Arabidopsis thaliana: one gene and its partners. The protein of the gene in region 1 interacts with the protein of each later gene in a biochemical or structural test. Each region holds a gene or a part of one and is shown in the gene's direction. Other genes may lie near its edges.

Region 1 (7,728 bases):
CCGAAAAGAAGCTTGACGACTTTGGTGGAGCAACATGGTTAAGCACTTGTGTACCACCAACGCTTTGTCCTCCAGATTGCAGGTCGTCATTGTACTCAAACCGAGAGGCAAATGATGAACCAGCTGATGATTTGCTTTCCCCGTTATTTGTTGATGATACAGCGGGAATAACCGGTGCAACTTCTTCCGGTTTCTGCTCATAGAGATTGTCTTTTGGCTACATTTCACCAAAAACAAAATCCAATCTTTTAATCTGAACAAGAGAACAAAAACGTAAATGCTCCAAAAAAATACCCCTAAGACTTACCTTAGTAGTAAGCTTCCTTGCACCAAGACCACCAGTTTTTCCTGTCCTTTTAGCACCAATAGGTTTCTTAAACGTACTAGGCACAACTGTATTAGAAGCTTTAGGCGAAGAAGTAGCACTGGTAGCTTCATGTTTCGAAAGAGGTAACTCTTCCTTGACAGAATAAGAAGAAACCCCATTAGATACTTCCGGTAACTGAGAAGTAGCAACGGGAGATGACAGAAGACCAGAATTAGTTTCTTCCGCAATCGCTTTCGCAACTTCTTTAGCAAGAATCTGCCGATACAAATCAGCAGCTCTTGAAGTATACTTAGCTTCAATTTTGCCACCATCAGTCCATCCATGTTGCTTGAAGAAAACCTGAGCACGGTTGTTACCACCAAACATCATTGTCCTGAGCTGCTCCGGGCTCCAAGAGTCTAAATTCGTTGATCTATACAAAAACGGAAAAGGTAGCATCTTGAGAACGTAATGTGGCATTATTCAATATTATCTAGTCAATGAATCGATAATTTGAATGAGTCTAATTTCAAGACACTGGTGAAATTTTGAAGTCAACAATTCTGAAACCTTAAAACATAATCTGATGATTCAACCACACTAAAGTCAACGTAATGCTACACATTAGCCAACAATTCTGAACACCTGAGCACGGTTTAAGCTAATTCCCTTATAAAGGCCTCAAAAGCTTAAACCTTAGCCAAAATCTGAGCTAGAGTAATGCCGAAGAATTGGATCAGATGATGAATTGTTTACCTGACGAAGCTGATATGAACACCAAGATTCCGGTGAGTAGCTGAACAATCGATGCAGAGGAAAATCCCATATGTAACCGATGCCCAAGTTGGATTCTTCGCACTACAATCGAAGCAGACCTAAATTGGCAAATCAAAACCAAAATTAGCATAAATGAATCAAAGATCTAGTCAAACAACTCTCAGATCTAAACATACACAATATCAAATTGACGATACTCAAAGAAAGAGAAGAATTCAGAAAAAAATTTGATTACCTTGTTCTCAGATTTTGATTTGAGTTTTCTGAAAACAATGTTTTTGTCGGTAAGATTGTCAGCAGAAGAAGAAGCCATTGTAGATCAAATTGTTCAATTTGATCACCTCCTTGAAGAAATTTGAAAGATTTTTTAATTTGAAATCTTTCTTCTTCAAAATCTGTAAATCTAAAGGAAACAGTACTAACGTTTGATGGAAACATTTGATCTGACTAGACTGACGAAAACACCCTGAATAAACTCTAGAAATTACGAAAATGGCATTACGTAGAAACGACACGTAGTGTGTAAATTCCGTTTCTGAAGCAACATGGATGATATAAAACGGACGAAAGCTTATCATTTTCACCTTTTCTTAAACCTCAATTCAAAGATTACTTCCTAATTTGTCTAATCGTGTGTTATACATTTTTCGTATTAATATTATGTTTATCATATGGTTTAATACGTACAGGATTTGTTTTTAATATCTGAAGTTAACATGTATTAGTAAATTAAAATACGACTTTTTATAACTCCAGGTTTTCAAACTAACTAACGGTTTTCATTTTTGCCTTCTTTCCATAATATGTCTCACACATATTATATGCTAAAAGTTTCGCTATACTTGTTGTTGACCATACACTAAAAAATGTCAAATGTGAAATATTTGCGGGCTAGTTTTATTAACTACCCAAAATGTGTGAGGCCCAATATAAAGTAAAGCCCAGCTTAATTTGTTTTGTTTGCTTTTATGCGATTCCGAAATGTCACTGTACAGTAGACACTATAGTTTCGTCGGATATGAACATAGAGAGACCAACATTTTTGGGCATTTGCTCTCACTGAAAAAGAAAGCATATTATGAAATCTGGCCACTAAAAACACGAGACCCACACGACATAATGTGATTATTTTTGTGTGGTCGTATAATTTTCGTAATTAAATCTAATTCTGTTTTAATACTATACCTTTTATTTTCCTTTATGCTCTTGCGTCTCTTTCACCTTTGATATCAAAATCACCCATGTCTTTTTTTTGTTCTTTATCATTGCAAAAAGTTGTGTCCAATAACGAAGCCAACAAAAATATGTTTATAAGAAAATGTTAAACTACAAGTCTACAATATTTGCTTTATAGGTTTTGTATATAAATGTTGTATCCAAATCTTTGGTGTTAACACTCCCTTAATCCCTTTAAATCATATTTTCCTGCCTCAAAGAACAACTGCAATTCTACAAACTCATTGTTTAAATTAATTGATGCTACTTGCTTACAAGAATTAAATGATGGGATTAATCACAAGAAAAGCAGATATTGACACCAATACCAAAAGTGAGGGAGACAAGATCATTATTGTAAGTGAAATATCATTTTCATTCTTTAATTGTTCTTAATTATCAACTTTGATGTAAAAGGCTCCTTGACAAATTTGATCCGATTCTCTTACATAGATTAGTAATTTTCTTGTAAAACAATTACTATTCAGAAAAAAATTGTTTTCAATCAAGTTATGTATATAACCCAACTTCAGAAATAACTCAATCAATAATTCATATTTGGTGAAAATAAAAGTACTATTTCTTTTTCTTTAGAGTTAAAAAAAAAAAATGAATATAAACAGATTCCTTTTCCCGAAACAATCAAACCAAACACAAATATTTTGCTTAAAGAACTTACTTCTCTCCTCTGTCTCTCACCGGAAAAACAAAAAGTCTTCTCTTTTATAACTACGTCAGAGAACTGTTATGTCTCCGACGAATGTTCAAGTAACCGATTACCATCTCAACCAATCAAAAACGGATACAACAAATCTCTGGTCAACCGACGACGATGCATCGGTAATGGAAGCTTTCATCGGCGGCGGCTCCGATCATTCTTCTCTTTTTCCTCCACTTCCTCCTCCTCCTCTTCCTCAAGTCAACGAAGATAATCTCCAGCAACGTCTCCAAGCTTTAATCGAAGGAGCAAACGAGAACTGGACTTACGCCGTGTTCTGGCAATCATCTCACGGTTTCGCCGGAGAAGACAACAACAACAACAACACAGTGTTGTTAGGTTGGGGAGATGGTTATTACAAAGGAGAAGAAGAGAAGTCTAGAAAGAAGAAATCAAATCCAGCTAGTGCAGCTGAACAAGAGCATCGTAAGAGAGTGATTAGAGAGCTCAACTCTTTAATCTCCGGTGGTGTAGGAGGAGGAGATGAAGCTGGAGATGAAGAAGTTACAGATACTGAATGGTTCTTCTTAGTTTCAATGACACAGAGCTTTGTCAAGGGTACTGGTTTACCTGGTCAAGCTTTCTCAAATTCAGACACGATTTGGTTATCTGGTTCTAATGCTTTAGCTGGATCAAGTTGTGAGAGAGCTCGTCAAGGTCAGATTTATGGGTTACAAACAATGGTGTGTGTAGCGACAGAGAATGGTGTCGTTGAGCTTGGTTCGTCGGAGATTATTCATCAAAGTTCAGATCTTGTTGATAAAGTTGACACCTTTTTCAATTTTAACAATGGTGGTGGTGAATTTGGTTCTTGGGCGTTTAATTTGAATCCAGATCAAGGAGAGAATGATCCAGGTTTGTGGATTAGTGAACCTAATGGTGTTGACTCTGGTCTTGTAGCTGCTCCGGTGATGAATAATGGTGGAAATGACTCAACTTCTAATTCTGATTCTCAACCAATTTCTAAGCTTTGTAATGGAAGCTCTGTTGAAAACCCTAACCCTAAAGTTCTGAAATCTTGTGAAATGGTGAATTTCAAGAATGGGATTGAGAATGGTCAAGAAGAAGATAGTAGTAATAAGAAGAGATCACCGGTTTCGAATAATGAAGAAGGGATGCTTTCTTTTACCTCTGTTCTTCCATGTGACTCGAATCACTCTGATCTTGAAGCTTCAGTGGCTAAAGAAGCTGAGAGTAACAGAGTTGTGGTTGAACCGGAGAAGAAACCGAGGAAACGAGGGAGAAAACCGGCGAATGGAAGAGAAGAGCCTTTGAATCATGTAGAGGCAGAGAGACAGAGAAGAGAGAAGTTGAATCAGAGATTCTATTCTTTAAGAGCTGTGGTTCCTAATGTGTCTAAGATGGATAAAGCTTCTCTATTAGGAGATGCTATTTCGTATATCAGTGAGCTTAAGTCTAAGTTGCAAAAGGCTGAATCTGATAAAGAAGAGTTGCAGAAGCAGATTGATGTGATGAATAAAGAAGCGGGAAATGCGAAAAGTTCGGTAAAAGATCGAAAATGTTTGAATCAAGAATCGAGTGTGTTGATAGAGATGGAGGTTGATGTGAAGATTATTGGTTGGGATGCAATGATAAGGATTCAATGTAGTAAGAGGAATCATCCTGGTGCTAAGTTCATGGAAGCACTTAAGGAGTTGGATTTGGAAGTGAATCATGCGAGTTTATCGGTAGTGAATGATCTTATGATCCAACAAGCGACTGTGAAAATGGGGAATCAGTTTTTCACGCAAGATCAACTCAAGGTTGCTCTAACGGAGAAAGTTGGAGAATGTCCATGAATTGAAGTCAGCATCTTTAGGGCTAATACACCGGAGAATACTGCGAAAAGTCGAAAACAACGATCATAGTATAAGCCGCGGTAAAAAGTGTTAAACCTTTCACACAAGTTTCTCTAGTGAATGTAGTTGTAAACTCTATTGTGTAAGGGTAATTTTGTAGTACCCACTTGTTGCTATTGAATGCTTGTTAGAGAGGATTCTTAGTGTAGTATATGATTAGGTTGGGGTTTGTTGTTTCATGAGATAAATAAATGTGTTTGATCAATGGTTAAGTCTTTGGTTTGTTGGTGTATGTATGTAAATAAGGCTTTTGTTAGAAATAAGACAAATGGGACTGAAGTTGGAGTTTTTTGTTGTCTTTTGAGTTAAAGTTTGAGTATTTCACTTTCAAGTGAGTTTTTTGTGTTCATCATTTGGGACTAGTCATTGGGAAGTTGGCATCAAAAGAGGCATCTAATTTGTTAGGAACGAATATACCTACTTTTTTTTGTTTTCAATAGGGATAATTTAAATCAATCACAGCTATTTAGAGATTCCAATGTAGGACCTCAAAATTTATGTGGATGTTACATGATCATTATCGTTCTAAATAGTATTTTGAACCATAGATTACTTCAGAGTAATTAAGTTTGTCGCATAAATCATGATGCACAACATGCAAATGCTAAATGGATTTCTTGATATTGACAGAAGAAGTGAAACCACTAGAATAATACCCTTTAAAAAAATAAAAAAAAATCAATATATGTCATAAAGGTCCAAAATGGTGAAATCAAAATGAAACATGGGGATATAAACATAAGATGTCTTAAAAGGGTTGTGGGGGAGGGAAAGCGAGGTTATGAATCTTTGAAGAAAAAGTTAAAATCATACAAAAAAATCGTGGAGACATGTGTGGTCGATTATTAAAGAGATTTTTCTGCAACATATATTATTGTGTTTGTTTCCAAACATTTTAGCAATAATCTCCTCGAAAATGTGAGTGACAGTGCGAAGAGAACGTGTGAGTGATAAGAAGAAAGCATGCGCTTTTAAAATTATAGGGCACATTATCGCCAAATAAAAACAAAGAACGAAAGGAGACATTTATCATCTGTACATGTAATATTAACTATACTTTGTTTGATGATCGTTTTCTCATTCTGGATAACTTTAGATTAATTGTACGTAAAAGATGTACTAAATAGACTAATTCAGATTACAATTAGTTACCAAATGTACATTAAATAATGGCAATTTGATTACAATAGAGATTACAATTGGACTAGATTAAAACACTGTTTAGTGGCAGATTATTGACATAGTTATCATGCCGTAATAGTACGCATACATTCTAATGGAGTATTATAAAGATTTCAAGACGATCGAATATCCACCCCTTTGGTTTGCTAAATTTTCTTACCAATAGTATAATGTTGTTGCATGGTTGTCTGTGTCAAGAGTACTTTATTTGATGCTCCAAAGTGTGTGCGGATTTGGAATTTTTTAAACTGATCCATCACCCTTCATTTTGTATATATATATTTTAAAAGAATATAATATCAACAATTTGTTACAGATTTTACTTTTTAAAGGATAAAATCCATCGTCTCTGTTTGTTTTGAGATTTCTTTATTAAAGAAGTCCGTTTTTTTCTTAAGTTTGTTACGAAAAAGGAAAAATTAAATTTTGGATTTTCTTAAAACCTAAAACCCAAAAAGCCCAACAAAAGCTGGAAGTTTGAAACCATTCGAGCCTAGTAGCTATATGTAATATATTCATGTGTAATGAAGTAGCATGTGTCATGTGACATGGGCTGCCGAAAAGAAATTAGCTTATAACAAGGCTAGTCATTATTTAAAACGATATGATTCATTACATCTATCGTTTAAGAGAAATCAGATATATATATATATATACAAAGGCTTGATTCTTGAATGGACAAATTCAGTTTTAGCACGAGAGTTAGCGGAATAGCGTCAATCAACAAACTTAATGAATAGTTAGCAAATTCACAACAAAACATTTCCTGATGAGAGAGTACAAAATATTTCATTGCACGAACTTATTCTCGCAGATACGTCAATAGGACTGAGATGGAACAGGAGAAGTCTTTTGTTGCTTCTTAGAGGATTGTTGCTCCTTAGAGGATTGTTGCCTTGTCATACATAACATACATACTACGCAGTAGTACTTTATAAAAAAAAAACATACTACGCAGTACGCATTATTCATGCGAATAGCCAACATGTGAATACGCCAAACACCATAAGTTAAATACTCGGTATCTAAACCTTGGTGAGATCTTTCTTATAAATATAAGTCGAGACATCATTTATCAAAATCTACAAAAGGATATCACACAGAAAAAAAAAACACTTTTTAACACAAAACGTAATTAGGACATTACGCAACATCTAACGTGTCCAACCCTAATTGAGCGTCAAAAGGTTTTAGAAATTTCTAAATTATTATAGGCTATAATCTACTCCTTAGCAGTTTCAAATGTATGCACTACATTTCGTAAGGAATCACTGTCCATCTACTAGACTGCTCTCTAATTCTTCTCTTTAGTCATTGCTATCATCGTTTTGCGATGAAGATGACTTTGAAGACTCGAGCGAGGAGTGGTTTGTTGTCTTTGCCAAGAGAGCTGTGACCGCTATTGAGTCTTCCGTACATACAACAACATTTATTGAATCTTTCATTCATAACTAGATGAGTAAAAATACTTAGTTATATAATTGTATCATGCTATTGTTATTTACAACAATCGTCATTTCGACTAAATTTTTTGATTATCCCAATATTTGATATTATACATTTCTACCACCTAAATATATATTAGGTATTTGGCACATTGTCTCTAGGGAAAAGTCTAATTCGATATACCTACTTTGCTAATTAATTATCTGATAATTTAATAAACCATT
Region 2 (7,137 bases), on another chromosome or scaffold:
TAAGGCATCATGGAGTGATCTTTCAGCCTCATCTAGGACATGGTGACTGCAAGAAAAAAGAACCCATACAAAAATTGATTAGTGAATTAGAAACAGAATAAAGTTTAGACGAAGTCTTTCAAGTAATGGGAGTGAAAATGGATACCTGGCCCCTCTTAGGACAATTGAACAAGCCTGGCCCATTTCACAACCAGAGAAATGAATCAACTTGTCTTCACCAATCATGATTTCTTCTATAAGCTTGCAATGCCCAAGCTTAACAGACTCTGGGTTGTCAAAGGTCGAAGCAATTTCACCACCAGTAACCAAACCAAGACGCTCTATTCCCTCAAAGTCAGCATGCTCAATAGCAAGTATACCAGCATCAGCAAAGAGTTCCTCAGGGAAATTGTAGATCAACTGCCTGTTAACAAAGCAGTTGATTCCGTGGCCTATGATCTTCTTCACCTTGTCTTTCATTTTTTCCTTCTCAGCCCCTTCAATCTCAGCAACCTTGGTCATGGAATCCACACGGACACGTGCACCGTAAATCTTCACTTTATCGGTATCCATAGCAGTATTAGCTACTAAGATATTTGCATTCTCTATGCGCTTAGGCTGCCCAATTCCTATTTTCTTGTCAAGAATAAACCTACAGGCATAGATTTTAAGTTGAGGTGACATGAGACCATATTACTCGATAGAAGAAGAAACACAACACAACAAGATGACATGATGACTATCAACATTCCAAAATAACACTATAAATGAAATTAAGGTGCGTAAGCTATGAAGAAGAAAAGAAACACGACAGAGTTACCATGAACAGATGAATACTAAAGAAAGATCAATAGCTCAGAAAACTGAATTTGAACTGACGCCAAAGGCACAAAGTGTTGTCTTACCCTTCATCCAAAAACGAATCCTTCAGAGACCCTCCAGGTTTTTTGATGATCTGAATAGCTTCCAAGTTTGTGCTTCCCTGTTGAACGATAAAAGCAGAATGTCAGAAAAAAATCATATAACAATCCAAAACGAAACGATGCAACTATGGGAAAGACTAATGGTGAAATGATAATAGCCTAATTTCATGACATTTCGTCAAAGGAAGATCTTCTTTCATGAGATAACACATAAATCAAGAGAAAAAGAAGGAAGGAACACATGACATTGCTGAATCAGTTTCAAAAGGAGGAAGAAATGGAACCTTTAGCCTGAAAACAGCATCCACGGCCATTTCTGCAAAATGTTCCTTGTCCTGTGAGAGAATTTTGGAACATAAAGTAGTCATCGCAATCTTCAACAAGTCTGACCTAAACTTCTCTGCATTGACAAAAATACAATGCTGTAAAATAACAGTGTGATTTCCGTTCTGTATTCAACTGAAAGGAAATCACCGCTTGAACCCAACAGTCGAAGTAATCACACAAACAAGAAAATGCTATACTTAAATATGTCAGCATAACAAGGTTTAACCATCTCTATAATGATTACCTGCATTGTCCTTGTTATCAATGACTCTTTTCAGTAAAGCATTACGAGCACATTCCGAAGCCATTCTGTAACCTAAGAAACCAGAAAACGAAAAAATTAGAAATCATTGCCATAGTGAGAGAAGCTGATACAAAGTTGACATCTTAACACTTAAAGCTCCAAAAGTGTACCTGCTATGATGGTCATAGGGTGAATCTTAGAAGCCACAAGCTTTTCTGCTTCCCTCAGAAGCTCGCCGGCCAAGACAACAACAGAGGTAGTTCCATCACCAACCTCATCATCTTGAACTTTCGAGATGTCTGAAGAACAAACCAGATACAACGAACTGTGAGAGAAAACCCAACTAAGAAAAAACGAATGTGAAAACTTCATGCCAGAATGTCGCAGGGAAATTACATACCAACAAGAACTTTAGCTGCAGGGTTGTCTATGTGAAGTGACTTGAGAATAGTAGCACCATCGTTAGTAACAGTGACCGCATGACCTCTACCAGTAGATTGCAAGATTTTATCCTAAACAATAATAAAAAGGATTCAACAATAATCAATAGAACCAAATTGAAAGTTTGTAGCTTTCTAAATATTCAGAGATCGGAAATTACCATGCCCTTTGGCCCTAAAGTAGACTTAACCAGATCACTGATAGCCATTGCACCAACAAATGATGCCTAAAAGAGCAACAACAAAAGAAAAGAAAATCAGATTTAAACAGTAGAAGAGTGAATCTGAAAAACCCTAAATCCTAATCGATTCAAAAGACTCACCATCCTCGCACGTTCTCCCTTCTCTTCACTAGCATCATCTTTGAAGATCTTATCGATCTAAATACGAAATAGCTAAGTTCAGTTAACGGAGAGCACTGGGGAAAAGCAAAAGGATTGAAAGAGACGACGGAGGAACATTACCGGCATCGGGAAGAGCGGAAAAAGAAGAAGGAGGCTTCTTCAGTATCGGAGATATCCAAGTTAGTCGAATCTGAGACTAGCGAGAAACAATAGATGGGATCGTTCACGAAGAACGAACAAGCCGAGAGGATCTCGAAATATTGAGTGTGCTTTTGAAGAAGAGTAGAAAATGAGAGGAGAGAGCCAAAACCCAGATCTTTCGGAACCCTAAATGAAACTCGTAAAGACCAAACTACCCTCGTATTTCCCAGATTTCTTATGCGCCCTTCAGTAAAAACTAAAAAGTTTAGATTAACCCTTAACCAAAAAGTTATAAGTTACATTAAGAAGTAAATTTTATAGTTTCGACAATTTTGCATTTTGTTTGATTATATAGAGGAAAAAAAAAAATGTTCCATATACAAATTTGAATTTGGTGATGATTTAGCGGTCGAATACAAAAACAGAAATAAATTAATTCGTGATTTGTATGCGAATATTGTTACTAAAAAAAACTATAAATGTAAAGAGGCTTATAAAATAGAAAGAGAAACATTATAAATGTAAGCAGTCAAGGTCCATTTTAGAAGTCATTTTAAGACGACTAAGCCCAACAGTACTTTAAGAGCCCAATGAATCAAGGTCCAGCAAACTCAATTAGTTTAACGTCTCAGCCACTTATAAATTATACACGTTTGGAGTTCCGGATAACCGAAATGAGAAAGCATGTCCCACATAGAAGGCCAACGACACCGTATCATATTCGAGCACGTTTCTAATTACCCTCTTGTTGTCTTTTACTGTCGTAGCACCAAAAGTCAAACAATAAAAATCAATATCTATCGCCAGGTGTCAAATTACAGGAGCTTCTGAGAAGGATAAATCTCGGAGGTTCCCGGTCTGAACGACGTAGAGACGAAGCGAAACAAAAGTACTCTAAGGGAGAGAAGTATCAAAATTCTCATCGGAAAAAGACAGATCTACAAATTTTGAGAGACAAGCCATGACTAAGGTGAAAGATGAGCCACGCGCTTCCGTTGAAGGTGGATGTGGTGTTGCCGACGGTGACGGCGGCGCGGCTGAGATCGGCGGTACCGGATCTGTTGAGAAATCGATTAACGAAGTTAGGTATGAGCTGTGTTTACTGTTGATTTCACATGTTTTTATCTGTTTCTCTCTTTGCTTTGAGTTTAGTACTTAAAATTGTATCTTGTTTCTGATAAGGAAGATCAGCATTTCGATCTGGTTACTTTAGTTTCTATTTAGGGAAAGTCATATTTCTCAATGGAACCAATTTGTTTTTTGGCTGGAACAATTGGATTCTTAACAAACTTGTGTTTTTCAAAGTCCTTTAATGCATACATAAGTTTTCATGTGAATTTGATTAATAGAACTTCACCGTTAACATGTGAAATTGGAGAGACTGGATTCATATGTGGAGAGTTTTCTTAATGTTGCATCAATAAGTCCATCTTTATAGTGTCGGTCACAAGTTTAATAGATCTTCTGCTATTGAAGGTCCACGGAGATTCAAACCGCTGAGCCAACGGTTCCTCCAAATCAACTTACTATTTTCTTTGGTGGAAGTGTTACTGTGTTTGATGGACTTCCATCAGAAAAGGTTGGTCCATTAGAGCTTTGTTGTTGTCAGAAAAACTTCAGAATTTCTGTTCTCACTGTGATCTATGCCTATAGGTTCAAGAAATCCTTCGTATTGCTGCTAAAGCAATGGAGACAAAGAATTCTACAAGCATCAGTCCTGTCTCATCGCCAGCACTGAACAGAGCTCCTTCTTTCTCAAGCACATCTAATGTGGCATCACCAGCTGCACAGCCATTTCCTATTCAGCCAATCTCGTTTTGCAGATCCACGGCTGGTAAGTATTCGATTCAACTGGTTATAGTAATCTTCAAACCTTGAAAATGGATACTCTCATTAGTTTCTTACAATTATGTTTGCCGTAACAGATCTACCTATTGCAAGGAGGCATTCGCTTCAACGATTCCTCGAGAAAAGACGGGACAGGTATGCAGCCTTTAAAATTACACTTCATCCTTCTCCATTTCAATGGAAATTCAAATCTGATCTATTTTATTCAGTTTTTGATTGATTACTAATACAGAGCTTGTTAATGTACCTGTGAGAGACTTGTAAAGACAGATTGATCATAATGTTTAACCTTGATATTGCATCTAACAATAACATTCACTTTTTTTTATCTGCAGATTGGTCAACAAAAACCCTTACCCTACTTCAGACTTCAAAAAGACAGATGTCCCAACAGGCAATGTCTCTATCAAGGAGGAATTTCCAACTGCTTAGCAGAAGATCAAACCTCCACATTAAGCTTATAAGCAAACTAAGTAAAACGTTTTGTCAATATAGTAATTAATATGATAATCTATCATGTACGCTGCTGTGTGTAATGTGTTGTATGATAGTGTCTGTATAGGTTTGCTAGACAAACCGAAGATTGTTTCCATGTCTGGGAGTGGTCAGATATGTTTGCCATTTTACAATTCTACTGAAGAAACTATTGTAGTTAGTAACACTGTCCTAGAGTCTATCTAACTAATGACTCTTTGATGTTATGTTATTGAACTTGTCATCTCTTCAAGATACAATTGTGTGTAAAGTAAAGAAGTCTGTGTTGTTATTATAAGCTTTCATACAAAAGACATTGAATCTATATGTAAAATGGGATTTATAATTGTGAATGATGAACAACAATTCGGAGATGTTTCAAGGAAAGACAATGGGAGTGTGCCATAACTGATTGAAATTTAAACGTACATATATTCACCTCCGCGGACAGCATTCTCTGCGCCCTTCCTCTCTTCTTCGGCCTCTTTCTCTCTCTCTTTCCAGTTTTCGTATTTCTGATCGTCTGTTGGTAATTCATGGCGGCATATAGGGCAAGAGTTATGCTCGTCCTGCCATAAAACAATATGAGCATAAGCTTTATGTTCTTACTTACTAGTAAGCTTGAAAGAATGGGATTTTTTTTTTTATACCAGCCAAGGCTTTAGGCAAGGAGGGTGAAATGTGTGCTTGCATGGCAATTCCTGCATCTTGTCGCCAATAACTAGATTCTCCTTGCAGATGCAACATTCTGCCTCTGCTCCAAACTTTTTAAGCAATTCCTCGGTGAAAATAATGACTGGGAGTTTCTCTACAACTTCTTTACTTGCCGGTGGAGCTCTTGGTGGTCCACCATCATCTAGTATCTGCATAGAACACATCATATATCACTTTTCAATCATGAAGCTAAGAAAAAGACGCTACCAATACAATATTAGAGGTTGAGGTTAAACACTCTTGATACAGATGAGTGAGACAACCAAGTGGAGAAACTCAATATGCAAAAAACAACATATGAGTAGAATGCGGATGATTAAGAATTGCTTTCATCTCTATCTTTAGGTGAAGAAACTTGTGATATCAGCTATGTGTGATAGTACATAATCTAAAACTAGTAAGGAAGAAAAGAGAAGGCATTACATCTGGAATGATCATGTCAAGACCATTGATAAGTTCTTGCATCAAGTTAGCAGTTTCCCCAATAGTGTTTTCAGTAGGACCATTAGAGGATTCACCACCAACGATAGAAGCGAAAGCAGACATGAGATTCTGCTGTACTAGCCACTGAGGCTGTGGCGGCTCACGATCAACCGTAAGATGTCCCTCAAAAAGATAACCTGCAAAAAATTCACAAGAGAAATAAAAATCATCTCCAGATAAATTTCACTTAAAACCATCAAAAGCCAAACTAAATGTTTCACAAACCTTGTGAGCTCTCTGTTGGCTGATTATCTACTTCGCTTAACTGCTCCTTAGCTTGAGCAACGCAAGATTTCAAATGTTTCTTCTCAGAAGCATCAGAGACAAGTCGCTCAGCCTCTTCGAAAAGACTCAGTCCAGCAACCCAAAATCCAGTAGCTGTATATCTTGTCTTAAGAACCGTAGCGACACGAGATACAACTATATAGAACTGCAATGGCAATCAAATCAATACTATGTCACAGAGGGTAACTAAACAAAAACAGATCGGATTAAATGAAATTTTTGACATGAACATGAACTTTCTCCACAATTGAAATAGAAAAACAATAAAAGAAAGATATTTGATTCCTGATTCAATCCTCAAAAGTTAAACCCATCATCAGACATAAGCAATGAGTAAACGTCAAGGCAGGCATAAACCCTAACAATTCCGAATAATTTTGAATCTATTGATCCGAAAATCTAAGAATAAAAACCAACCTGTTTGCGGAGAGAAGGAGAGGAAGAAGAGTAGTGATCACGGAGAAGATTATGAATAGAACAAACGGATGCTTCGAATCTCAGCTTTTTGTTCAGCTGTTTCTGAAGATCATCAAGCTCAAGCTTCAAGCTTTCCTCGGAAGGAGACGGTGAAGACGATGCATCCATTCAGAAATTTATTTCTTAGAGTTAAGGAGAATACTCAGGGGTTTCGAATGATTTTGGGGATTTTGTAAGAATGATGCAAAAGAAGAACCAATCTCTTGTCTTCTGGGATTTTTGTAGGAGACGAGTTTTCTTGATCAGGAGGAAAGGACGAAGTCGGTCGGTTAATATAGTTCAGTTCGGTTTGGTTCGGTTCAAGACCAAAAGAACAATTGTTAATTACCAATTGTTCGGTTTGGTTTGAGACCAATTTTTTGTTGGTAAATACTAAATCGTATGCGGCTATATTAGACCAAACCGTATACATTATTTGTTTTTTGTAGTATGATTGTAACTGTAGATAAACATAGTGT
Region 3 (7,371 bases), on another chromosome or scaffold:
CCTTCTATGGTTTTGTTTTAATCTTGGTGGATGCTAGAAACACTGTATCGAGTTTTTGCCAACAGGAATTTCCCTTACATTGTAATGTTGTAGGAAAGAAAGTGTGAGGAAACGTGCGTATTATGTTTGGAAATTCTTCTTGTTTTGTTAACCTGGTCTTGATTGCATGACAGAATCGAGATGGTTTCGTGATGGGAGAGGGAGCTGGAGTTCTACTTTTGGAAGAACTCGAGCATGCTAAGGTATATAACTTATTCGTTCTTTCTGTCATTTCTTGTTTCCCATTTTTAAATCACAAAAGAAACTTATATCCAAAGCTTTTTTTATTGCTTGCTATGGAACGAGTTGTGAGAACATAAGTATTCTGCTTTTCTTTCAGAAAAGAGGTGCAACTATCTACGCAGAGTTCCTCGGTGGGAGTTTCACATGTGATGCCTATCACATGACCGAGCCTCACCCTGATGGTAGTTTCATTTTCCCCTAATTTATATTAGTCTGCTAGTCAACTACAAATTTGAAATCTCTTTTTTCTATAATTTTTTTGTCATTATCCCATTTTTCTTAAATCCGCAGGGGCTGGTGTTATTCTCTGTATTGAGAGAGCGTTAGCTAGTGCTGGGATTTCCAAGGAACAAATAAATTACATAAATGCACATGCAACCTCAACGCATGCTGGAGATATTAAGGAATACCAAGCCCTTGCTCACTGTTTTGGCCAAAATCCTGAGGTAGCTTCAGTTCTTTGTTACAAAATTCCGAAGTGCCTTTTTATGTGCTTTTCTTGATCTTTCTCGATGTGGCAGCTTAAGGTAAATTCCACAAAATCTATGATTGGACACTTGCTGGGAGCTGCTGGGGCCGTGGAGGCTGTTGCAACTGTGCAGGTAACTCATTTGACTCGGTGTATCTACAAGGAAGGAAGTGTTGTTGAAACCAAGTTTTAGCATAGAGCGAAATTATGTGCAATCTTCGCATTTTTAATGTTAATATTCTGTTGCTATCTACAGGCGATACGGACCGGATGGGTTCATCCAAATATCAACCTCGAGAATCCAGACAGTGGAGTGGTATGTTAGTTTCATATGAGTTCAATACCTATACAAAGACCTTTTAATGTTCGTAAAAAAAAACTCTTGGGAGTTTTAATAATCGTACTGTGAAATGAAATTGGAGCAGGATACAAAGCTGCTGGTGGGTCCTAAGAAGGAGAGACTGGACATTAAAGCAGCCTTGTCAAATTCATTCGGGTTTGGTGGTCATAACTCCAGCATCATTTTTGCTCCTTACAAGTGAAAGCGAAAGCAGTTGCTTGTACTCCAAACCTGATTGTATAACTTGCTGTAAGGTAAAAAGTTACATCCATTGTACATTTGTGTATCATCAGATTCTTAGAGGAATTGAAGGACAGTTAACTCTTTTGACCTTTCTATATTTATTACTTTGGCTGAGATGGATCATTGGCAATAATGAATTGGAAGTTTGTGCAAGTTCCCTTTGAAGTATTGTCGGTCCAGAAATGCTCTAAAATGATTTGGGATGGACTAAGAATTTGTTATGAAGCTGAGTGTTTAAATTATGTGCAGTGTTTTACAAGAAGTTTCCCATGTTATGCTAGTGTTACGTCGAGGGAATCAACAGAGTTTGTTCAACTACCAAGAGCTAAGCTAAGTTTCTTAGGATCAAGATCTGATGAGCCAAAGACTTGGACAGGAGCTAAAACGTGCTAGAGATATCAGAGTTTGGATTCGCCATTAAAATTCTGTTTCTTGTGATACCTTCTTATTGGAAATCTTTGTAGTCTTTACATTTCTATTGTTTAACATGAAATCTCAAAAAATGCCAAATCAATTCTCAATTTTAAATTTAGTAGCTCTTGACAGTTTTCCCTTTGTTAATTACATATATAGAGAGTAACTAAATCATCTTTTGAAAGGTAAAAACTAAAAAAATATATTCCAAGGGCCCAATGTTTTACCACTTTCATATGTAAGCTTATTTTCTGTTAAATATGTGAAAGAAAGAAGAGGAATGAATCAGCTGTGAAAACCAAGAGCAAGTATAAAAACATGGCTAAAAGGGTATCAATCAGCCTTGTATAAGAGAGCCATAAGTAGATAAAGTTTCTACAGTAAAAACAGGAATATAGAGTACTATTCCTTAATTAGCTTATGTTCTTCTATTCTTCTTGTGACCTCTATCTTGCATTTTTGTGACCACCCCACTTGCCTTCTTCTTTTTGGTTGCATACTCTAAATAATATCCAGACTTTGATGTCTTTATGCGCTCTGGGTTCTTCTTGTGACCCCTCTTCCTTGTAATTGTATGTACCTGCAGCTTCTTCTGATTTTGTTTCTTATGGATATGTTTGTGATGTATAAAATTTTGTGAAGATGTTTATAAAACAGTTAAAAACCAAATTAACCAATCATCCTTATTTTCTCACGAGCCACTCTATGAACCTTACGTTATCTCGATGTACCTGTAATGAGTTAGCAATTACTACAATCCAAGTCAATAAAATAACAAGTTGGACGTTACGTTATAAAAGAAAATCAAACTTATTTGTGTGTTCCTAACAAACGCATGGGATAATAACAAGAGAATAAAAGACAGAGTGATAGGATCAACGGCTATTGTGCGTAGGAGAACACAGCTGCTATATAAGCCGCGTAACAGGTGATTACTCTGACTACGACACCAACAAGAAAAATTCTCTCAAATGTGGGCAGTTAAGTTAGACACGTGTAAGGTCGCGATTCATGGAGGAGACGTGCTCTTCCCGCTTTTTGTAATTATTTATTACTGTTGTCATAAATAAAACACTAAAAAAAAATTAATAAAAGGGAAAATACAAAACGTGATTTATGGATCAAATTTGCATTGGTGGTGGAGTTTTGGTTATGTAAGACCCACACCGTGTTCCCTCTATCTAACGCCGTTAATCCTCTTTTTTCCCCCAAATCATACCGTTAATTCTCTTTGAGTGCTAAAATATCACGCCGGTCTATGAGATTAAAATAGTAGACTAATTAATAGTGCTAAAAATACATAAATTAATGCCAAGAGATTCATCTTAAAAAAAAGGATATATGAACCAACTAAATGGTATAACTGAAAGACTATCATAATCAAATTTCATCTGAACATTGATTTGTTTGAACTAATTAATTTTAGGATTTTACGTTTTCATAATTTTTTATTTTATTTGAACATCTTGTAAGGGTAAAATGGTAAAAACAGGAGTAGTAAGAGGGTGAAATGGTTATTTCAAGTGTGAAGCGTGGGGACGTGGGTGACGGTGGTGATCTGAAACAGTGGTCTGCCGTTAAAACATTAAATTAAAACACGTGTTTTAAATGTCTCTATGTTAATTAATACTATAAGAGTATATTTTACTAATTTCCGTATCTGCAACCAGCGAAAAAAAAGTAATAAAGAGGTCCTCCATTTCTTCCTCGTGACAAAACGCACTTGGCAGAGAAAGATAAACAAGAACCCTAAGTTTTTTTATAAGATTCGAGAAAATTCAACAACTCAGGAAGGAAGATCCTTTTGCTCCAATTTCTCAATCGAAACGATTTCAATTTCGGTTTCAACGATGTCGAGTTTTTCTGCCGAGTGTTGGGACTTCTCTGGTCGTAAACCGAGCTTTTCACAAACATGTACTCGATTGAGTCGTTACCTGAAGGAGAAGGGTAGTTTTGGAGATCTGAGCTTAGGGATGACATGCAAGCCCGACGTTAATGGTAATCAACCTTTCTCTTTTAGATCTGTTCATTTCGTTTCTGCGAATTTTGAGTTTCCTGTTGCGAATTACGAATTATGAATCGATTACATGTTGTCTGGAAATTGAATCGTTGTAGAGAATCGATGATTAATGGATTTTGAATCAATTTCTATATATGTATGTATGTGTATGAATTTGTGGAGATGGTTCTGTGTTTGGTTTAAGCATAATCCTCTAAAGCCATAGGCCTGGTTTAGTCATTAAGTAGATTTTGTTTTGCAGTTGTTTGAGAGATTGGTGAATGATAATAATCTTTACTTTTGGATCAATTTTCGCAGGAGGTTCACGTCAGCCTACAATGATGAATCTGTTCCCTTGTGAAGCTTCAGGAATGGATTCTTCTGCTGGTCAAGAAGACATTAAACCGAAGACTATGTTTCCGAGACAATCAAGCTTTTCTTCTTCCTCTTCCTCTGGGACCAAAGAAGATGTACAGATGATCAAAGAGACTACTAAGTATGTGTTTATATGTATATAGTGAAAAGAATCGTCTCATATAGTAAGCTATGTTTCATCAGTTTAACTAATTTTTGTGTGATTTTGAACAGATCTGTGAAGCCAGAGTCTCAATCTGCTCCGTTGACTATATTCTACGGTGGTCGAGTTATGGTGTTTGATGATTTTTCTGCTGAGAAAGCTAAAGAAGTCATTGATTTGGCTAACAAAGGAAGTGCCAAAAGCTTCACATGTTTCACAGCTGAAGTAAACAATAACCATAGTGCTTATTCTCAAAAAGAGATTGCTTCTAGCCCAAATCCTGTTTGTAGTCCTGCAAAAACCGCAGCACAAGAGCCAATTCAGCCTAACCCGGCCTCTTTAGCCTGCGGTAATTGATCTCAGCCTCTTTTGGTTCAACCATCTCTGAGCTTGGCTTAGTCCTATTTCTCTAACTTTCTCTCTTTTTGATTTGTAGAACTCCCGATTGCAAGAAGAGCTTCACTTCATCGGTTCCTTGAGAAGAGGAAGGATAGGTAATGCATTTTAATGAAAACATAATATCTTGTTATTCCATAAGTTCTTGTTAAGCGAATTTCTCAATATCCTACTCGTAAACCTTTAACAGGATCACATCAAAGGCACCATACCAAATAGACGGTTCAGCTGAAGCGTCTTCCAAGCCTACTAACCCAGCTTGGCTCAGTTCACGGTAAACTTCGAGCCTGTCCGACCCAGAAGGCACAACTTGAGAGACCTTCTTGTAAGATTCTTCTGATGCTCCATCGTTACAAATATCAAGCTGCTCCTCTGTTCATTTTTTCTATAGATTAATTTCACCCCTAGTAGTTTTGTTTGTTTAACTCCCCCGAAAACTCATTATATTTGTATGAAATCAATATCAATAGTGTTCAATGTTTGCTTCTGGGGTTTAAGTTTTAGCCAGTGTGTATAACCCTTTCCTCTGCCGATCTCAACATTAGCTTGCAACTTTTGTAAGAAACATCACTTGTGTTTTTGTGTTGATGGCCATTAATATAATCCAAGTTTATTTAATCCGATTGTTTGTTCGTCACTTATTGAGAGCTGAAGCTTACAGTTAAGGAACAGAAATACTTAAAGCATTCTCGAAAATAAAGAAATGTCTAAAAAATGATGATTTTCTATCAAGTATTGTCGTGTGAAAGATTTTCTTTAACAAGTCTGCTATTGTTCAAAATACGTTTTAACCTATCTATCCATTATAGTATTAGCATTTTCGTTTTGTTGTTAAATACATGGCACAAACTATGTAGACTATTTTTGGTTAAAATACCAAGCCAGTTACAATTTTGTTTTTCCCAAAATACTAGTTATAACTTTGTAAAATATCCGAAGTCCATAATAAAAAGAGCTTCATAAATATCCAATAAGTGGAGTAGATCAGACCAGGCTTGGTAGGCCACGGGAATTCTGACCCACGATAACTTTTTTTCGTTCGGTCTTGAACAATGATTTGTTCGGTCTTGAACAATGATCATCCAACTAACAAAACGTAAATTTGGTCCAAAGACTGGTCCGAAATTCGTTATGATTAATAAGCCCGAAGAACCTAAGATCCAATTTTATCCGATTTGGAAAAAAATAACTGAATTTTTCAGCATTAACAAATCGCCAAGACTACGTAATTTGGATCGGACAGAATCGGCCCCGGACTTCATCTAATCAAAGTTGTTCAAAATGGTAGGGACTAAAGTTTTTACCAAAATATCATTGTTTTTTTAGTTGGGGAAAAGGATCTTTTATTAATTTCTGACAACGGGCCAGGATACAACAAGTTGCATATTTAAGGGCCCACGTGCATACATTGCACTAAGAATCATAATGATTTAAAACTCATAATTGTGTTTCTTCAAGTCTTAAATTTATTAAAACGTTATTTTGGTTTCTTCATTAAAATGATAGTACGCGTTCTCTATTATTTTTTGAAAGATAATTTAAGTTGTTTGTAATTAAGAAACTGAACTCGAGTAATAGCAAATTAGCAACACATTACATTTTTGAACGTAATTTTAATTTTATACCTCTATAAATATTTTGATTGGTAACGTTTTCTTTAAAATAAAACAGAAGTAAACCCACAGGACTTTGTATTTTTGATCAAAAAGTGTAAACATATTCAAACAAGTCTTCTAGCCACAAAGTTTTAGACTTGTGGAAAAAACAAAAAAAGACATGTGTATTGCACAATCTTACATTTTCAATTGATTGATTCAATGTTTTGGATACAGGGAATTGAGAAATTGGCATATATACATACATACTTGTTCTACAAAGCTATTTCACGAAATGATTATTGATTTATGTGATTCCGAGGAAAAGCCATAAACATTACTCGGTATTAAAAGTTAACAAAAAGCAAACTTCTATACAATGTGCTTTTTAACCTAACCAAAAATTTCACTTTTTTTTTTTTTGTTATTTTCTAACCTTTTTTCTTCTATTAAGGTAAAATGGAATGATGATCACTTTTTTTTTTATATATAAATAAAATATACTTCTCTTCGTATTATTGTGAATTGTGATCATCCTAAAATACGAATACTCCGGCAGATAATCTCTGTCCGGCGGCGTAAGGAGAGCTCAAAACGTCGGCGTTTCTTGAAACTTGCGTTTTACATTGCTCTTGTCGTTCGTCATTCATTATTTGCACTGATCTGCATTCGGCACTACAAAATCCCATCTCTCCTCTGCACACAACCCAAAAAAAAAAGGATCAGTTTCTAGAAAAAATACCAATAAAATATTGAATTAGTCTCCAATTTAACAAAGATCCAAGAAGCAATAATGCGATGAAACTTACTTGTACATGTATATGTCTTTGCCTTGAAGTTTCTTCTTACACAAGCAACACGAACTCAGAAACTCTGTTGGACCCCTAACACTCTGTCTTTCAATAACCGGTGGTTCATCGACGGTAACCATCGGTTTATGAACTCTCCGATAATCATTTTCAGACAATTCAAACCCGTCGTCGTTGTAATACACTTTGGTCGGCCCGTTTGGGCTCGTAACATAAGTGTATTCCTCATCCGACAGATCAATCTCCGGGCACCTGAATCTCCCGGAGTAACGAACCGGATCATGCCGGTTAATCCCGTTGCTAGTTT
Region 4 (8,853 bases), on another chromosome or scaffold:
AAATCCAGTTGTCAATTTCCAACACTCGGACTTCACGAGAGAACAAATAGCTTTCTCTCTCACTCGCTGAGACTCTCTGGAAGATCTTCAGAGTTTTCGAGGTTAAGGATTTTGAGGAAGCGACGAGGAAGACGAAAGCGTAACTGTTAGTGGGAAAGCCTAGATTCAGTGCCTTTGTCATTTAATTTACTTGAAATGGAAAACAGTCAATTCTTTGTTAAGACTAAATTTTGACTTTTTTGACTTAAACTAAAATTAATTTTATTCAATCATTTCTTAACAAAACAACTCAATTTTTTCATATAAATCCACAAATAACAACACATTATTAATCAATATCTCTATTCCATTACTTAACAAAAATGTTATTTTCGTAATTTTAGATAACAAAGAAAACGATCTTTTGTTTTCTCGCAAAATAAATAAATGAAAATATTGTTTAAGTGCTGATGATCTACAACTACAAGATGTGATCTAGCTTATGTGAATCCGAAAAGTTTCCACTAACACAGTGCATGCATCCAACTTTATGCGGTCCATGGCAAAACAACAAATCCTCATTGGCTCATTGCGATACAAACTTATTATGACTATTAGATTTGGGCCATTCCTTATTACATTTTGGGCCCATATTAGTCGGACTTTTATATTAGTAATGGACATGTCAAGGGAGAAGAGTCAGGCAAAACGATCATACAAGTCACAAGAGATAAAGATGGTTCAAGATGAGTTCGATCTACTTCTCTTTATTTTCAGATCAACAGTTTTGTAACTATTTTTTATTTATTTTTCAGTAATTTTGCTAGCTAAATATTAAATGATGTGTTCACGTTACGTCTATATCTCAATTAATAACATTACTTTCTGCTTTTCAATTATCGAATAGATTGAATCCAAATTTTTTTATGACGAAATAAATTACTATAATGGTATGCATCATGAGTGTACTATTGTATTCTTGCATGTGATTTTTGATCAACATGGTGTTTTTGTCATTACTATCAAAAGACTTCCATCGCTGCGATATTGGATTGTCAGAACTCGGAAAAAAACAAATTATGTCGTAGCTCAATTCCACGAAAAAGTCTAAAACAATAATTAGCAGCTCTATATAGATAATCGAAGGCAAAGGTAATTGTTTATAATTTTGCAAAAGCACGACATATAGGATAACGTGCACTCTTCAAAAGCTATTTAGCAATGCAATCACGGTGGAATTTGTGCATGTAATCTCTTAGCCTAACATAACCAAAACCTATGGTGACATCTTCTAGACAGATTGGGGAAACTTCTTCTTCGTCTTTCCCTAAACTCCCCTTGTTCTTCTCCACCATGCACAGCCCTCTCTAACTTCCATGAAATTCCAAGACGTGGAGATACATTTTGGCCCCTGAATCTTCTCAGCTTTATACGTACACCTCCATCGTAAATTATTGCGGAGGCGTAAACGGTGAAGGCGCCGTAAACAAGGGTCGAAATTAGGCAAACAAGTCGGCATACGATGTCAAGAGCCCACGAAAGACTAATTGCTTCTGGATGTCCATAATTACTAGCAAATAAGTCTATATCAAAATAAAAACTAAAATGTAAGTATTAACAGGTGAGAAATGACCAGATCATTAAGTAGGGAGGCTCTTCTCTGGATCTGGCTCGACGTCGACGAGAAGCAGGATGAGCCATCAAAGGATCCACTAAAGCACCAAACTCAAAAAAAAGAGAGCCAAATATTGCAACTACTCAAGTCAGTCTAAATATAGTTAAATGCTGCGCTATATATCATGCATATACATATGTCATTTGATTTTCTCTTTGCCATTATTTACTCTCATTCGATTTTAATACAAAATTATTTAAGTTGTTGTTGTAAACAGACGTTGCTGTTGCTGTTGAGTTTGATTTAGAATAGTTAAGTTTGGTTTTGGTTGGAGAAAAGTTTTCGTTGTTAAGCCAACTCGTGATCATTTAATCTGTTCTTTTTTTGGTAGGGGGTGATCATTGAATCTTTTGTTTTGAGTTTTGTATGTCTATATAGAGTCTAATACCATTAAAACAAAAAAAATGTCGTGGTAACCAGAATTAAATGATGTAAAAACAGAAAACAAGAATTAAATGTCGGATGTAAAAACAGAATTAAATTTCGGATGTTTTATGTGGATCATAGCGTGAGAGATGCGTTTATGGCATCTTTTGATATAATCTTCGCTTTGTAGGTCCACTTTTGATCTGATCTGATCTATTATCTATATGGAATGTTGTGTATATAATAAACTGCAGTGTAGTATTTTCTTAATAATGTGATATTAATATCTAAATTCTAGGCTGGAGAAAATGACGTGTGCTGCATATCCCCCAGACTCGAAATAACGATGTTATCGTGGGAGATGATCGTCAATTTTTTTTTTGTTTAGAGATCGTCAAGTTGTTGTGATCATTGACTCCTTTCCATTTTTTCTATAGATTTGAATTTTAAATATTCATTTTCATAAAAAAATGAAAACTTTATTATTATATTTGTGAGATAATTAGATATGTTTTAAAACATTAGTAAATTTAGTATAGTATTAGTTTTTACTAAATTAAGAAGAAAGTGACGCACGAAATGGCGTAATTTCCTCCCCCGGACCACATGCATCTTATAAATACACAAAAACGATGTCAACGAGTGATTTTAGTAATATGTACATTAAAGTAATATTTTCTTTTTGGTACCAATAATTACCTTAATTAATACAAGTATAGTTTAAGCAACAAGCAACATTCTTTAATAATTCGCGAAAAATATTAATAAAAGTACAATGACAGAAAAAATAATTAAAAATTGGATTAAAAAAAATAATATTAGAGTGATGACATAATCACATGAGGATTTAGATTTAGCTTAATAATGTTTAGTTGTGGAACTAAATTTCCGCAACAATTATTTTGTTGTATTTAAATCATTTTATGAAAGTCTAATCTTTACAATTACTTTATAGTACCATCCGATTAATCAAAGATTAAAAATATAGTACTAAAATACAAATTAATATATTTTGCCAAAAAAATGCAACGTGCAAATGTTTATCTTGGTCAAGAGAACGTGCACGAAAGTAGTGTAACTAATTTTACTATTTTAGATTGAGCGGTGAGACAAAAAGGGGGTTAGACTCACGCGCTACACTTAGCGCGTCAGCCGACAAAAAAAAGTGTTGTCATTGAATAAAAAAATAAATTAAAACTGCCGCTTCGCATCTCGTGAATCATTCACGTTAAAATAGCGCACGTGCCTCGCCACGCGTCTCACCACAAAAAGAAACGCCACACACTGCACGACGATGCACGTGCCTTTTTAACCGACTATATCCGGTGACGTAACCGGGACAACCTGTAGCTGGTTTTTGCGCCAATAGGATATGAGAAAAAAGAATCTTTTTTTTCTTGTTATAGTTATAAATTAATGGTACGATTCACATGTCGCATGCGATTTGTTAATAAAACTAGAAATTGCGGTGAATTAACTTCATTCCACGTTTTTTCATTTTCTCCCTCAAAAGTCTCTGTTTTTTTTCCTTTTTCCGGCGAAGCTCTATTTAGCTTGATTCCGGCGTTTAACACGCGTTTTAATCGAAACAGACATTTGAGATCGAATTAATTTTGTAGCGGGCTGTGTCTTTATTATAGATGGAGAGAGATTTTCTCGGGTTGGGTTCGAAAAATTCTCCGATCACTGTCAAGGAGGAAACCAGCGAAAGCTCTAGAGATTCAGGTTATTTATTACTCTTCTCAATTTTTCTGATTCTGATTGTTTTTAAATCGTAGATTTGTTTGATTGATTAGGAGTTATTAGGACTACTTGTAGTATGGAATTTGTTTTTGGATAGCTGATTTTATGGCTTGCTCGGGAACTGGAATTGTCAGTTTGTTGCTTGGAGCAGAACATTGTCCTTTGCTTTTCTCGGGAGATGTAGAATTTGGATTTGGAAAAACTAGTGTTCTTTTCCAAAGCCTTGTCTTAAACATGCTTTCGGTCGGAGAAATTAACGAGAACTAATCTCAAGCTTCTAACATAATTAAACTCGGTAAACTTTTTTTTACTAGAGTAAATTTTTTTGTTTTGTTTGAAGAGTCTTATAATTGAGAAATACTTTATTAGTTTATACTAAAAAAAAAACGAATACGTAAAATGTTGGAAAAGAGGGGATGTATAGAGACTGATACAAAAATGATAAAATAGAGACGGTTGGTAGTAGGTAGAAAGATTAAATATACTCAAAAGAGTGAGTTGGATTAGTTTATAAGATGATTAACTTCTTGATTGTGTGAGTTGGATTAGTTTATGAGATTATTAAAATATTGATTGTGTATTTGTGTTGTGTGTTGATTAAGCGGAACTTGCGTTAGAATATTGTTCAAGGTACAATGTGGAAATAATAGTTTTCTCACCACGAGGAATATAATTATTTCAACTTTGTTTTCTTATCAGCCAAAACGTGCCACACCATAAAAGTAGTGCATCAACATGTGGTGTGGTGTGGTGGGGTTAAAGTTTGAATCTCTCTTTAATTTAAACTATTAAAACAAACTTAAATTATTGGAGTTTCGTACAATGACTTTCAATCAAATGTTTTAGAATTAGACACGGTTTTCGAAAGTGGTTTTCCCTCGTTGAATTTGTCAACAGTATCAGATTCTACATTGTTGGTTACTAATCTTTTCCTTGAAGTAGGTGTTGAATTAATCCTCTGTTGTTTATGTAAGGAGATCTCGAGACATTTATGGTTAACAGTTAACACTACATGTTTGACTTTAAACTGATTATCTTTTATTCTTTTTCTTTTGTAGCTCCCAACAGAGGAATGAACTGGTCTTTCTCAAACAAAGTATCAGCTTCTTCTTCTCAGTTTCTATCCTTCAGGCCAACTCAAGAAGATAGACATAGAAAGTCTGGAAATTATCATCTTCCTCACTCTGGTTCCTTCATGCCATCATCAGTAGCTGATGTTTATGATTCAACCCGCAAAGCTCCTTACAGTTCTGTACAGGTATTTGTCATCAAAACCTATGTTAACCAAGACCCTTGTGTTTTTTTTATCCTTCGCAAGATAGCTTTAAAAGTGAGCCCTGTTTTATGAGCATATAGTAATTGGTTTTGAGTCTAGTTTAGCACAAGTTCATGGCAATTAGTTTGTGGATCTAATCTTGGTTTAATACTGATTCATTTTAAGTGTAAGCTAAGCTTCTCATTTTTGATAAGTTAGTTCATACAATGCCTCACACCTACTTTATGGCTTGTTACTCTCAGGGAGTGAGGATGTTCCCTAATTCCAATCAACACGAAGAAACTAACGCAGTTTCCATGTCGATGCCGGGTTTCCAGTCTCATCATTATGCACCAGGAGGAAGAAGCTTCATGAACAATAACAATAACTCACAACCTTTGGTAGGAGTTCCTATCATGGCACCTCCAATTTCAATCCTTCCTCCTCCAGGTTCCATTGTAGGGACTACTGATATTAGGTACCCACTAGTCATCATATCATACAGAAACTCTTTCTACATTTTCATAGTTGACTAAAGACTTATTTTTGTCAGATCTTCTTCCAAGCCAATAGGTTCACCTGCGCAGTTGACGATCTTTTATGCCGGTTCAGTTTGTGTTTACGATGACATATCTCCTGAAAAGGTATCTCAATCATTTTCTTCCATATATGCATCTCTTTTACTCGTAAGGTATGGTACTCATTTGCTTTCTTTCATTTCTCAGGCAAAGGCGATAATGTTGCTAGCTGGGAACGGTTCCTCTATGCCTCAAGTCTTTTCGCCGCCTCAAACTCATCAACAAGTGGTCCATCATACTCGTGCCTCTGTCGATTCTTCAGCTATGCCTCCTAGCTTCATGCCTACAATATCTTATCTTAGCCCTGAAGCTGGAAGTAGCACAAACGGACTCGGAGCCACAAAAGCGACAAGAGGCTTGACGTCAACATATCACAACAACCAAGCTAATGGATCCAATATTAACTGCCCAGTACCAGTTTCTTGTTCTACCAATGTAATGGCTCCAACAGGTAAAAAACAAAGTCAGAGACCTGATACTACATTCGCCATCTAACTTACTAGTATTTTCATGGATGTAACTTCATTCTCGTTCTGTTTCTTATGCAGTGGCATTACCTCTGGCTCGCAAAGCATCCCTGGCTAGGTTTTTAGAGAAACGCAAAGAAAGGTACGCAACACTTCTTTAGAATACACCATTCAATAGTTTCTTGGGCTAACTCTCTTTCTCGCTGTGGGTTTCTCAGGGTCACGAGCGTATCCCCATATTGCTTAGACAAGAAGTCATCGACAGATTGTCGCAGATCAATGTCTGAATGCATTAGTTCTTCTCTCAGCTCTGCAACCTAATTTCATCTACAGTAAGAAGGTTGCTTTAGACCACTCCACATCCATATTTGCATTTCAATGGCGGTCTTTTCAATGTCTCAGTTAATTTTTCCTCACTCGCCACACTGAGTTTCTCCTTAGCTTTATATATACGATAGTGTATACTTTGTTTACATGTTTTTTGGTGGAATGGAACTTATGAGAGCATATCAGATATGTACTTGGGAAAATTAGTAGAAACTGTTTGTTTCTTTTTTTTTAACTCTGTTCTTTTGTATATATCACTGAAGCTCGCATATGTATAATTCATGTAATGGAATTGCATCGCTTCTGTTTCCCTAAGTTATTTCTCTAATCAATTTTCTATTCAAATATGGGGATTTTTTTAATAGGATTTGCTAATTTGTACTCTGGTTAACAATAAGCTTGATACATTACCAGTTACCAACTCGAATTCACAAAAGAAGTCATCATTATATATGGAGAAAATGGAACATCTTTTAGAATTTGCTTTAATTCGTTTTGGCTAATTATTTTTCGGTCTTCGTTTTGGCTGTGAGTTTCTTTGTAACATCCTAATTTCAATATGTGGGCCATTTTGTGTTGTAGCCCATCAAGGCCCAATGTCTTATTGCACAACGAAAAGGGATGTTGCAAAAGATGATAAACCGGATATGAATTCAGTCGCGGTTAAGTTAACGCGAAGACAAAACCGGTTGGACATGTTCGGTTTTCGGCGATGATTATTTCAACGTTTTTCAGTCTAATCAAAACCAATACGAGCAGACACAGCTCCGTACGATCACAAGGATTCACTGATTTCTAAGCTTTTCATAGAAAGAAGAAGAAAAAGGCGGAATTCGATGGTGGATGCGATTCAAGTAGCTGAGCTGAGAAGATTCGTCGAGCAGTTGAAATTGAATCCTTCGATTCTCCACGATCCTAGTCTGGTTTTCTTCAAAGAATATCTCCGAAGGTGATTCATTCTTCTCTGACTTATCTTTCTTTCGGTGAATTTCATTTGTCAGTTGAATTTTTCCATGGAGCTGTGAGTTTCTTTGTAATCGATGCTCGTTCCCGTCTTATCGTGTACAGTTTAGGAGCTCAAGTTCCGAAGATTGAGAAAACTGTAAGTTGTCTTTCTTATGAATTATCGATGTTTAGGTTTCTCTTGTTTGTGCTACTTGGGATTGAGTTCTTAATATCTTTGTGTTGAATTGATGTACAAAACCCTTTTCTAGGCTTCAACACTATCTAAATGTTGATCGAATAGTTAACTATAAATTGCAGGAAAGAGATTATGAAGATAAGGCTGAGACAAAACCCAGTTTCTCTCCTAAACATGATGATGATGATGATGATATTATGGAGTCTGATGTTGAACTCGACAACTCTGATGTAGTTGAACCAGACAATGAGCCTCCTCAGCCGGTAGGTGTTGAAGTTATCATCTTTGGATATTATGTGGTGCTTGTGTCTCTATGCATTTTTTTACCTGATTGGATGATTTTACTTTCTTGTCTTAGATGGGAGACCCTACTGCTGAAGTGACCGATGAAAATAGGGATGATGCTCAGTCAGAGAAGAGCAAAGCTATGGAGGCAATCTCTGATGGTACATAACTACCGTTGAAATTGGTTTTGATTATCTACTTCATAAGATTTCTCCTTAATGCTTGATTGGTATACAGGGAGGTTTGACGAAGCTATAGAGCATCTAACAAAAGCTGTCATGCTAAATCCTACTTCAGCGATTCTCTACGCCACTAGAGGTAACTTTCTTTTACTAGTTCACTCTCCCTTTTCGGCTGAATGTGGGTGATAATACTCAATATTTGTGATTGTTGTCCTGCAGCTAGTGTGTTTTTAAAAGTTAAGAAGCCAAATGCTGCAATTCGTGATGCCAACGTAGCGTTACAGGTGATCATTTCTCTTGACATAAACTTGTTTTGTTTGTGCTGAAAATGGATTTGGTAAAACAAGTTTATGTCTCAATAGTTTTATGGCTTGGGAGAGTGATTTTATATCTCAATGGTTTTCTTCCATAAACAAGCTAAACTAGTTTATTTTGGGGTTTAGTTCAACTCTGATTCAGCTAAGGGGTACAAATCACGAGGTATGGCTAAGGCCATGTTAGGCCAATGGGAAGAGGCTGCAGCTGATCTACATGTCGCATCAAAATTAGATTACGATGAGGAGATAGGGACAATGCTTAAGAAGGTAATTGCGGAAACCTCTTGATATCACTGTATGGTCCTTGAGTTTTACAGTACCAAATATATATGCTGAAAATGTGTACTTCCCAGGTTGAACCCAATGCAAAGAGAATCGAAGAACACCGCAGGAAATACCAACGCCTGAGGAAAGAAAAGGAGCTCCAAAGGGCTGAACGCGAGAGACGGAAACAGCAAGAAGCCCAGGTCAGACCGACTCATACCCATAATTAAATGTTGTGTAGAGTTACATTCTTTTGATTATCTTCTTAGCAGAA

The links.
Region 2: the proteins of MYC4 (region 1) and JAZ12 form a complex in vitro, tested with the Arabidopsis thaliana proteins (one study listed by BioGRID).
Region 3: the proteins of MYC4 (region 1) and TIFY10B form a complex in vitro, tested with the Arabidopsis thaliana proteins (one study listed by BioGRID).
Region 4: the proteins of MYC4 (region 1) and JAZ3 form a complex in vitro, tested with the Arabidopsis thaliana proteins (2 studies listed by BioGRID).

Annotation. Positions count from the first base shown.
Region 1 is NC_003075.7:9,930,790-9,938,517, reverse strand, and holds MYC4 (Basic helix-loop-helix (bHLH) DNA-binding family protein), read left to right. Parts: upstream 1-2,832; 5' UTR 2,833-3,046; coding exon 3,047-4,816; 3' UTR 4,817-5,192; downstream 5,193-7,728. Other genes in the region: AGD8 (ARF-GAP domain 8), read right to left, coding at 1-217, 308-740, 1,064-1,182, 1,320-1,397. UniProt on the Arabidopsis thaliana protein: Transcription factor involved in jasmonic acid (JA) gene regulation. With MYC2 and MYC3, controls additively subsets of JA-dependent responses. Can form complexes with all known glucosinolate-related MYBs to regulate glucosinolate biosynthesis.
Region 2 is NC_003076.8:7,087,524-7,094,660, forward strand, and holds JAZ12 (jasmonate-zim-domain protein 12), read left to right. Parts: upstream 1-3,180; 5' UTR 3,181-3,359; coding exon 3,360-3,484; intron 3,485-3,874; coding exon 3,875-3,977; intron 3,978-4,051; coding exon 4,052-4,232; intron 4,233-4,323; coding exon 4,324-4,381; intron 4,382-4,391; exon of another isoform or gene 4,392-4,581; coding exon 4,582-4,678; 3' UTR 4,679-5,016; downstream 5,017-7,137. Other genes in the region: AT5G20890 (TCP-1/cpn60 chaperonin family protein), read right to left, coding at 1-46, 146-631, 885-961, 1,187-1,302, 1,474-1,545, 1,644-1,772, 1,874-1,985, 2,075-2,140 and 2 more; AIP2 (RING/U-box superfamily protein), read right to left, coding at 5,140-5,289, 5,371-5,583, 5,858-6,054, 6,143-6,347, 6,620-6,787. UniProt on the Arabidopsis thaliana protein: Repressor of jasmonate responses.
Region 3 is NC_003070.9:28,146,486-28,153,856, reverse strand, and holds TIFY10B (TIFY domain/Divergent CCT motif family protein), read left to right. Parts: upstream 1-3,410; 5' UTR 3,411-3,598; coding exon 3,599-3,746; intron 3,747-4,065; coding exon 4,066-4,243; intron 4,244-4,335; coding exon 4,336-4,613; intron 4,614-4,700; coding exon 4,701-4,758; coding exon of another isoform or gene 4,759-4,762; exon of another isoform or gene 4,763-4,850; coding exon 4,851-4,938; 3' UTR 4,939-5,282; downstream 5,283-7,371. Other genes in the region: FAB1 (fatty acid biosynthesis 1), read left to right, coding at 174-242, 380-464, 574-728, 804-884, 1,008-1,067, 1,177-1,293; AT1G74940 (cyclin-dependent kinase, putative (DUF581)), read right to left, coding at 6,792-6,951, 7,065-7,371. UniProt on the Arabidopsis thaliana protein: Repressor of jasmonate responses. Jasmonoyl-isoleucine (JA-Ile) specifically promotes COI1-TIFY10B/JAZ2 interaction. Activated by MYC2, MYC3 and MYC4 transcription factors.
Region 4 is NC_003074.8:6,116,308-6,125,160, forward strand, and holds JAZ3 (jasmonate-zim-domain protein 3), read left to right. Parts: upstream 1-3,399; 5' UTR 3,400-3,660; coding exon 3,661-3,745; exon of another isoform or gene 3,746-4,775; coding exon of another isoform or gene 4,776-4,821; coding exon 4,822-5,021; intron 5,022-5,281; coding exon 5,282-5,496; intron 5,497-5,571; coding exon 5,572-5,662; intron 5,663-5,743; coding exon 5,744-6,047; intron 6,048-6,144; coding exon 6,145-6,205; intron 6,206-6,281; coding exon 6,282-6,384; 3' UTR 6,385-6,737; downstream 6,738-8,853. Other genes in the region: TDX (tetraticopeptide domain-containing thioredoxin), read left to right, coding at 7,227-7,339, 7,459-7,492, 7,654-7,794, 7,890-7,977, 8,054-8,134, 8,218-8,282, 8,442-8,582, 8,669-8,782. UniProt on the Arabidopsis thaliana protein: Repressor of jasmonate responses. Jasmonoyl-isoleucine (JA-Ile) specifically promotes COI1-TIFY6B/JAZ3 interaction. Acts as a negative regulator of MYC2 function. Feed-back regulated by MYC2.